Linked DNA regions of Oryctolagus cuniculus. The protein of the gene in region 2 purifies or fractionates together with the protein of the main gene of each other region. This does not show direct contact. Links are inferred from orthologs where the notes say so. Each region holds a gene or a part of one and is shown on either strand. Other genes may lie near its edges.

Region 1 (4,103 bases), on a different chromosome or scaffold from region 2:
TCTTTAAAAATAAAACCAGTTGTTCCTGTCTAGTATGTTCAGAATGCAAATATCTCCAAAGCCAGTCAACTTAACTCATGACACTTCATGTTTAAAGCAAGCAGGAAAACAACTTGGAACTGTATTAATTAAAACTTGAAAGACACAATTATGTAGCTCTAGTAATTTTGTTTGTGACGTAGTACTCAATTCCACACTACATTCCATTTTCTAGCTTCAGAGAAAACGCTATACCAAAGTTTACATTAGGATTAAAACTCGGATGGTTGAAAAACATGTCCCAACATAGGACACTCTGAATACTTACTCAAAAACAGATTTTTGCCATAATATGCAACGTATACACAGGCCTTGACTACAGAGTTCTATACAAATAGAAGCTACCTGTTATACAGAGGAGATGGTACAAAAAGAGACAGCTGTTTTCTTTTTAAAGACTTTTGAGTGTTGAGGTAAACAAATGAGAAATAACACCTTTAGCAACCAAAAGCAAAGCAACAGTCTACATATCTTGAGAGGGAGGGGAAAAATTGTGGTCTCTCAGACCTTTTAAACAGGCTATCAGGAACTTAGAGTAAAATGTATTCACTTGCTTTTAGACATGACTTCGACATAATATGTATTAATTCTTACTTCACCATATTAGGAAAGGGAAAACATATGTACCACCACCCCCTTCTTATGCCATCTAAACTACTGGAGGCAGCTAGCTCACAAGGAAAGAGAGCTTTAGACAATCACTGAGTGACAACAGCTGAAGCTGAACTGCCTTAACTACCCAGTGATAAATACTGGGGTGTACTCATGCGAGCAGCATTAAAATACTGCAAATTCTAAGGAAATACTAAGGTGTTGCATAAGCTGCAAGTCTCTCTATGATGGAGTTGCTGGAAGAGGGGCTCCTGGGTGGGAGACCAGCTCTGATAAGTTAAACAAGCGAGAACGCTGGCGGAGGGATGCTGTTCTGCTCAGCTCCACCGGCTGTTTCTTTCTAACGGCTCAGTAGCATCACCACAAGGCAACGCCAGGCTTCCTTAGGGAAAGCGGTTTAGGTAGCAAGCAAACACACTTCATGGTAGGGCTGACTATACCGATGACGCTCAAATGTCCAACTTCAAAAAGATGCACTGACTAGGGAGAGAAAACGGCCTGGAAACCCTCAGACTGTCATTCCCTGGTTTCCTGTGTGTGTGTGTGTGTGTGTGTGTGTAACAAAAAAGCACAACACCAGTTTCTTCAGACGTCTAAGCCAGCACGCTTGACACCGACCCGGCAAAGTTTTCAGCTGGCCCTCGCTCGCCCTCACATTCTCTTTCCTCCACTTCCCTGCCTGCTGTTCTTTCCTGGTACACAAAATATAGGCCAATGAGCAGTGGGTGGGTGAGGAGGATGTGAGAGAAAAATTTGAGAAGTTGGAAAAAAAAAAAAAAAAAAGAGCAACTTCACCAGGACGCGAATGACAGCGGAGGATCTCTAAGGACAGGCACACAGCAATGCGAACCACTGAAACACGGAAGGGGCTTTCCTGCCCGAGGCCAGACTACCTACCACTTGTCAGAGAGGCTGCACGGGGGACGGCGGCCGTGGTGACCTCTAACGTCTCCTCCGACTCTGAAACGTGAGGATTCTCAGTTCACACAGGAGAACGCCGAGCGCACCCAAGCCCACCGCCTCGGGACCCTTCTAAGGGAGCGGCCCCAAACACCACTCCCACCCCGCCCTCCCACACGTGCCCACCCCGCCCCCTTGCAACATTTCCACCTCCACGTGCAAAATGCCTCGCGGCACCTCCCCCGGCAAAGCCCCCAAACCCCGCGCCTGCGACCCCCTGGGAGGTGAGGACTCGGCTCGCCCACCCCGGGCGGCTCAAAAAGGAAAAAGTCTCAGACCCAGCCTTCCCCCCGACCCCCAACCCCCAGCCGCAGCGACACGGGGACGGGGGCGTAGAGAAAAAACTTTCTTTTCAAAATTTCCTTCCCGACTGGATGAGCCGGAGAGAACCTCGACGCGTCCCGGGCTGAGGCAGTGGGGGAGGGGAGCCCCTGAGACGTTTAACGGCCGGTAGGGGGAGGGGGCTCCGCGGGGTGAGGGGGCGTGGGGCGGAGGAGCGGGCCTGGGAGCGGGGTCAGGGAGCTGGAGGCGTGCCCCCCCACCTGGCACACAAAGCGGCTGCCGCGCTCGGCTCTCACCAGATCCTTTGTGTTTTCCATCAGGGCCTCATGGGTAGGGGTTGTCCGTGCTCCCCGAGCCCGCGGCGCCCCCTCCCCGAGCTGGGGGCAGGTGCCTCTCCCCCGGACTGCGGCGACTACAGGGGTTCCCGGCTGGGCCCAGACCGGTGGCGGCTGCAGCAGCCCCCGGATTTCCCCCCTTTAACTCGGGTGGCCCCAGGATATCAACAACATTAGCATAGCCCTCCCTCCCAGCGCGCCTGCGCCGTGACCCGCGCCCCGATTGGCCCACTTCCCCACATACCCTCCTCTCGCTCTTCCAGCGTGGGACCCTCGGCAGGCTCCGTACTCTACGGACCGTACCAAGACCGAGGGTGGGAAAAGTAACTGAGGCTGGCGTTCTGTCGAGTGGCTAGAAAGTCTGGAGGAAAAGGAGGCGTCTCATTCAGTCATCCCAGCTGGTGCTCCTGTTCCCTTAAACGTCTTTCGATATGCTCCAGCTGCGAGGTTGTGTTGGGGAAAATTTTCCACTCCAGTCATGCCGCTTACCCCTACACCCGGAAGATTGCTTCTCCCAAAGGAACTCCCACTCGGGGCGGGGCAGGCGAGGAGGAACAGAGTTACGTAGTGTGGGGGCGGGGAGGGTTGGTCACGTGGCAAGAGGCTGCGCAGGCTCCTTCCGGCCCCCGGGGCTGCGGCGGCCGCGGGAGGTGAGGCGCCTGGGCGCATGCGCTTGAGGTTCCACGTGAGCGCCTGCGTTTCTTCTCAAACTCAACGATGCCGCCGGAACGGAGGAGCCGAACGAAACCGGGCCGGAGAACCGGAGCGAAGCCGGATCGGAAGACTCGAATGAAGCCAGAACGGAGAGCCATTGTGGCGACGGGCGGGCCGCCCCGAAAGTCTGCCCTTTCATCCCAGCAGAAAGCGCCGGCCCGGCCGAGCGCGGCGGCCGCGGCGATGGCAGTCGCGGCGGCGGAGGAAGAGAGACTGCTCCGGCAGCGCAACCGCCTGACGCTGGAGGACGACAAGCCGGACGCGGAGCGGTGTCTGGAGGAGCTGGTCTTCGGCGACGTGGAGGACGACGAGGACGCGCTGCTGCGGCGCCTGCGGGGCCCGCCGGTGAGGGAGGCCGCGGCGCGCGGGCTGGGCGCGCTCGGGCGGGGCGCGCGGTGGGCGGCGAGGCTGCGGGGGCGGAGCCTCGGCGACCTGCGGCGGCGGCGGGCAGCGCTCAGGTGGGAGGGAGCCCGGGGACGCGGGCCCCGGGGGCCGCCGCGGAGCCTCCGCCGCCCCCCGGCGCGGGCCTGCGAGCCTCGGGAGGGCGGGGACCGTGCCTTTCTCCGCCCCCGGAGGAGCCGCTGCGCCGGGTATCCAGCAGGCGCTCAACACGCATTTGTTTCGCTAACTGTAGTCGCGGGCTTCCCTAGCGGCTCGGCTGCGCTCGCCCGCGCCGGAGCTGAGCCCAGCACCCCCGATTCCTGGCGGTGATGCAGGACTTGACGGGATCGCTTGGTGGGCGCGGGTCTGGGAGTCCGCGTCCTGAGCGCTCCCACGTGGGCCTGACGCACAGCAGCTTTGGAGAATGATCGCTTGTGTTCGCCCATTCAGCAAACTCGAGTATTTGCAAATACTGCCAGTGGCACAGCCTGCGTCATTAGGACCGTTAGGTTCTTTATCACTGTAAATTATATTCCTTTTTTTTTTCCTGCCCATATAGGGAGTAAAATTTTAGGCATGCTGTAGATGGACATTGGGGGGAGACACAGCAGTGGGCAGCAGAGGCAGAAGGCACCTAAATTTAAAGTACATCGGTGACAGGTGTGAGGAGAGGAGAACAGAATACCGTGGGGGGCGGGGGAGTTGGTGTGGGTGGGAAGGTTATGGAGTTTCAGGTCAGGTCGCGGGTCAGGGCCTCCCTAAATGGCTCAATGAGGGCTT
Region 2 (4,146 bases):
AAAGAATAGGACCGAGAAAAGTCCTCAGTATCAACTCAGGTTCTATCCAAATCTGGATTTCTTCTTCCTTAAAACTGAGCAGTTAAAGCAGACTTCTAAAAAGAATACAAGCACTAATGCTCTGGATTGAAAACCAAGTTTTATTGAAAAAAGTTAATGACCAAACTGTGACAGGGCTTGTTAAGTGCTTATTTTTAAAAGAACATTTTAAAAATCTGCAAGTTTTCTCCTAAATTAAAATAATAAAACATATGTGACAAGCTTAAGACCAAGTAGGAGCTGACTGCAAAAAGTAATGTACCTTCCAGGGATTAACTGTTCATTCTAGAACAGGTTTTCTGACTCAGGTTCTAAAATAATAGGATCCAAGTAATTTTGTACCCTAGTAGTTCTTTTTTTTTTTTTTTAAGATTTATTTATTTGAAAGGTAGAGTTACAGAGAGGCAGAAGCAAAGAGGGGAGAGAGGGAGAGGGGGAGGCAGAGAAGAGGGGGAGGGGGAGAGAGGGAGGGAGACAGAGAGACAGAGGCAGCTCTTCCATCTGCTGGTTCACTTCCCTGACAGCCACAACAGGAGACTCAGACCCGAAACGAGGAACCAGAAGCTTCTTCCGGGCTCCCACACGGGTGCAGGGCATCCTCCACTGCTTTCCCAGGCCATAGCAGAGAGCTGGCTTTACCCGCTACACCACAGCGCTGGCCCCACTACTGGTTCTTTTAAGCCTGAAAACCAACAAAAACTTCCAAATTTTGTTTCTGTTTTTTAAAGACTTATTTATTTATTTGAAAGAGTTACACAGAGAGAGGAGAGGCAGAGAGAGAGAGAGAGAGAGAGAGAGAGAGAGAGAGGAGGAGAGAATAGAGAGGAGAGAGAGGTCTTCCATCCACTGGTTCACTCCCCCACTGGCCGCAACTGCCGCAGCAGCGCGGATCAGAAGAAGCCAGAAGCCAGGAGCTTCTTCCGGGTCTCCTGTGTGGGTGCAGGGGCCCAAGCACTTGGGCCATCCTCCACTGCTTTCCCAGGCCACAGCAGAGAGCTAGATGGGAAGAGGAGCAGCCGGGACTAGAACCGGCGCCCATATGGGATGCTGGCGCTTTAGGCCAGGGCGTTAACCCGTTGTGCCACAGCGCCGGCCCCAGTTTTTTTAAAGTTCATCAATTAATTCTAATACGTATTATCCTCTTATTTCAATTATCTTTCCCATGAAAAACTGAGCTTAGTTAGGACCAAATTTTATTTTAAAAAAACAAAATTCTCTCATTCAGCTCTAAACCTTAGGCTTAAATTTTGGGCTTTTATCCTATTTACTTTTTAATTTTAAAAACTGATCGTGCATCCTGATGTCACAGCTATATTCATTTTCTGCTGAAAATGTAAGACTTCCAGGTGATCAAACACCAAGGAGAAATGTGATTAAAATCACAGAGGAAAGTAGTAATAGCAGGGTAACGTAATGAGGTCAGAACTCAAGCAGCCAATCAAAGGCATAAAAGCATTTCCTGCAATCTTAACAGTCAAAAGAGAAAACCAATCACGGAAACCTAGAGCTTTCTTTTGACAGTCACAGAGGCAAGAGAACCAATCCACACAGACCCGAGGTTGACAATAAGGCGGGACCGTGGGTTCATTGAAGAAATTCTTGAAGGTGCAGTTACTATGAACTTCGCATGCAAGGAACACCACTCCAGAGTCATAAACACTGTCAACCCAGAGCAAAATTCAACCTTATGCAAAATTTAACCCAGAGGTGGGGGAAACAGCTTTTATGCTACAAGGCATATAATCAAAAACACAGCTGTCAACTTATATGCAGTAAATCCTCTACTTCCAAAAGGACCACCCTCCTCCAACCAAGGCCATGTCGCGGGGTCACAGCGCCGGGACAGCGCCGCGCCGGCGGCTCGTTTCGAGCATCCCCGGTTCCTCTCGAACGCGGCGCAGTGAGCGGAGGCCGCACCGGCGACGCCGGCAGAGCCCGCCCGCCCCGCGCCCCGCGCCCCGCACCCCGCGTCCGGCTCCAGCTGGCTAACCCGGCGTCCCGCTCGGGAGTCGAGGCCTCGGCCCTTTCCCCTCCGCAGGGCCGCACTCGCTGCAGCAGCCCTGGTAGGGGCAGCGACATTCCCTTCCTAGGAGGGGGAAGATGTTTGTTTTGAAAGCGCTTTACTTTCCGTAAGTCATTTCAAACAGCACTCAATGCTAAACCAAACTTAAAACTAGAAGGAACTATACACAGACACGCACACGCATAATCTGTACCAGCCAAAGACACCCTCGCTATTAACTAACCCCGTGCCAGCGGACACTTTTTTTTTTTTTTTTTTTTGAAAGGTAAACAGAGGCCGTACGCCAAGTGCGCCCAGCGCAGCCCCTGCGCCATTCCCGGCCGCCGCTTACGGCAAGGCCCCCTTACGGCAGCGTAAGCGGCGCTGCGAGCTAATCACAACACTGGGACGCAACAACATGGCGGCCGCGGGCGGGCGCTGCGCCGGCCGAGAGGGTTTACGCTACTCCGCCAGCGTAGGGTCCCATGCGTTGGAGCGACAGCGGCGCCCTCCAGCGAGCGTAAAGCGCTCTGTGAATGGCGAGGCCCGACTGACAAAGGGGAGGGGGGAGGAGGGAGAGGGGGGGTAATAAACACTCGAGTCCCTACCGATTCCTCCTCCTTCTCCATCCCGGTGGGCATCTGGGGCACGGCCCGGTTGATGGAGACGCAGTCGTTGAGATCAGGCATGTCCTTGCCGCGGTAGATAGGCAGCGGTTTGGCGGCGTCCAGCGCCCGCGCTCGGAAGGAGAGTTTACTCATTGTCTCCCCGCCTTACAGGAACAGCCCGGGCGGCGGCGGCGGGGCGGGCGGGGAGGGGGGGAGGACTCCCGCCGCCTCCTCCACCTCCTTCCTCAGTGCAGCGCGGCCGGCCCGCTCCTCCTCCTCCTCCTCACTGCCCCCGGCCACAGCATGGGCGCCCACCCCGCCCGAAAACAGCCCCCCGCCGCCCGCGGCCGCTTCCACACACTAGATCCGCCGCTCGCCCGCCCGATCCGCTCCCTGCGCCATGGCCAACATGGCGGACATTACCACAGCGGCGGCGAGCGATCCCGGCAGCCCGCGCGAGAGCGCGCCCCCGCCGCGGGGACGCGCCTCGCCCTCTCCCTCCCTCCCTCCCTCCTTCCTCTCCCTTCCCCTCCCTCGCCTGCCCACCCACTCTCTCCGCCGCGCCGCCGGCCCACGGGAACGTGCTCGGCCTCGGGCCGCTCCAGGGAGAGGGGGCGGCAAGCGGCGGCGGCGGCAGCGCCTTCGGCTCACTGGCCGGCGCTCCCGCGGTGTGGCAGGTGCCAGGTGCGCGAGTTCACCCGCGCCCCAAAGCGTGTGCCTCTGCCTTCCGCGGCGGCGTCAGCGGGCTCGCTGAGTGCCCCTGAGGAAGGCGCCGGGCAAAAGGCGGCCGCGCCCAGCAGCGCCCGTGTGCAGAACTCTGTGAGCGGGAATAGATGTCGACCAGGGCCCCAGCAGCCACCGCCGGAGCCTATGCTTAGCGCTCCGGGCATCTCTGGGAGGTGCGAAAGGTCGGCGGTCCCCTCGGCCCGCTCTGAGGGGCGCAGCTCTGCACCGTCTCGCCGGCTCTGAGGGTGCTTAGGCGCCCCAGCCCCTGTTCTCCGCATCCGCCCTCCAGTACCTGTCCGGAAGAGCTCTCCAAGGTATGGCATCCTCTCTCGTCCTCGCCTGCTCGGGCAGGATGCTCATGGCAGCCGTGAGGGCGCTGGATGGAGGCTTGCCGAATGCAACAAGTGAACTTGAACCTGTCCCTCAAACTTGAGTTATTTAGTGGATGATAGATATTTCTCCGATTTCAAAAATAGCAGGGGTCGTCAAAGTTCAACTTAGGACGTTTGACCAAGGCAGCACACGTTTCCGAAGCGGCAGATGTGTGTGTGTGTTCCGCTGTGTTGCGAAGAAGTCAAAGTTCTTCCCTCATGATGCTTTCACGCTGGGGCAGATGGAAAGAGGAGTAGCAGTAAGAGACTTCATTAACTGAAGAAAAGCGCAGGGAAAGGAGGGAAAGGCATCCACAAAAAGTGCAAATTATTGAAAACTGCCCGGAGTTGACACACCAGTGCATGATTAATTACATCTACAGGCAATAATTGCTGTGAA

What was found. Proteins that work in one complex are often made in the same cells at the same time.
Region 1: the proteins of EPC2 (region 2) and MBTD1 purify together in Homo sapiens (affinity purification with mass spectrometry; 3 studies listed by BioGRID and IntAct, with this or other methods). This does not show direct contact. The link is inferred for Oryctolagus cuniculus from reciprocal best matches to the Homo sapiens genes EPC2 and MBTD1.

The regions. Positions count from the first base shown.
Region 1 is NC_091448.1:27,053,659-27,057,761, forward strand, and holds the start of MBTD1 (MBT domain-containing protein 1), read right to left. Parts: upstream 2,803-4,103; 5' UTR 2,473-2,802; exon of another isoform or gene 2,154-2,472; intron 1,612-2,153; 5' UTR 1,549-1,611; intron 1-1,548. Other genes in the region: UTP18 (U3 small nucleolar RNA-associated protein 18 homolog), read left to right, coding at 2,946-3,287. UniProt on the Homo sapiens protein: Chromatin reader component of the NuA4 histone acetyltransferase complex, a multiprotein complex involved in transcriptional activation of select genes principally by acetylation of nucleosomal histones H4 and H2A.
Region 2 is NC_091434.1:93,573,963-93,578,108, forward strand, and holds the start of EPC2 (enhancer of polycomb homolog 2), read right to left. Parts: upstream 2,803-4,146; coding exon 2,650-2,802; intron 1-2,649. UniProt on the Homo sapiens protein: May play a role in transcription or DNA repair.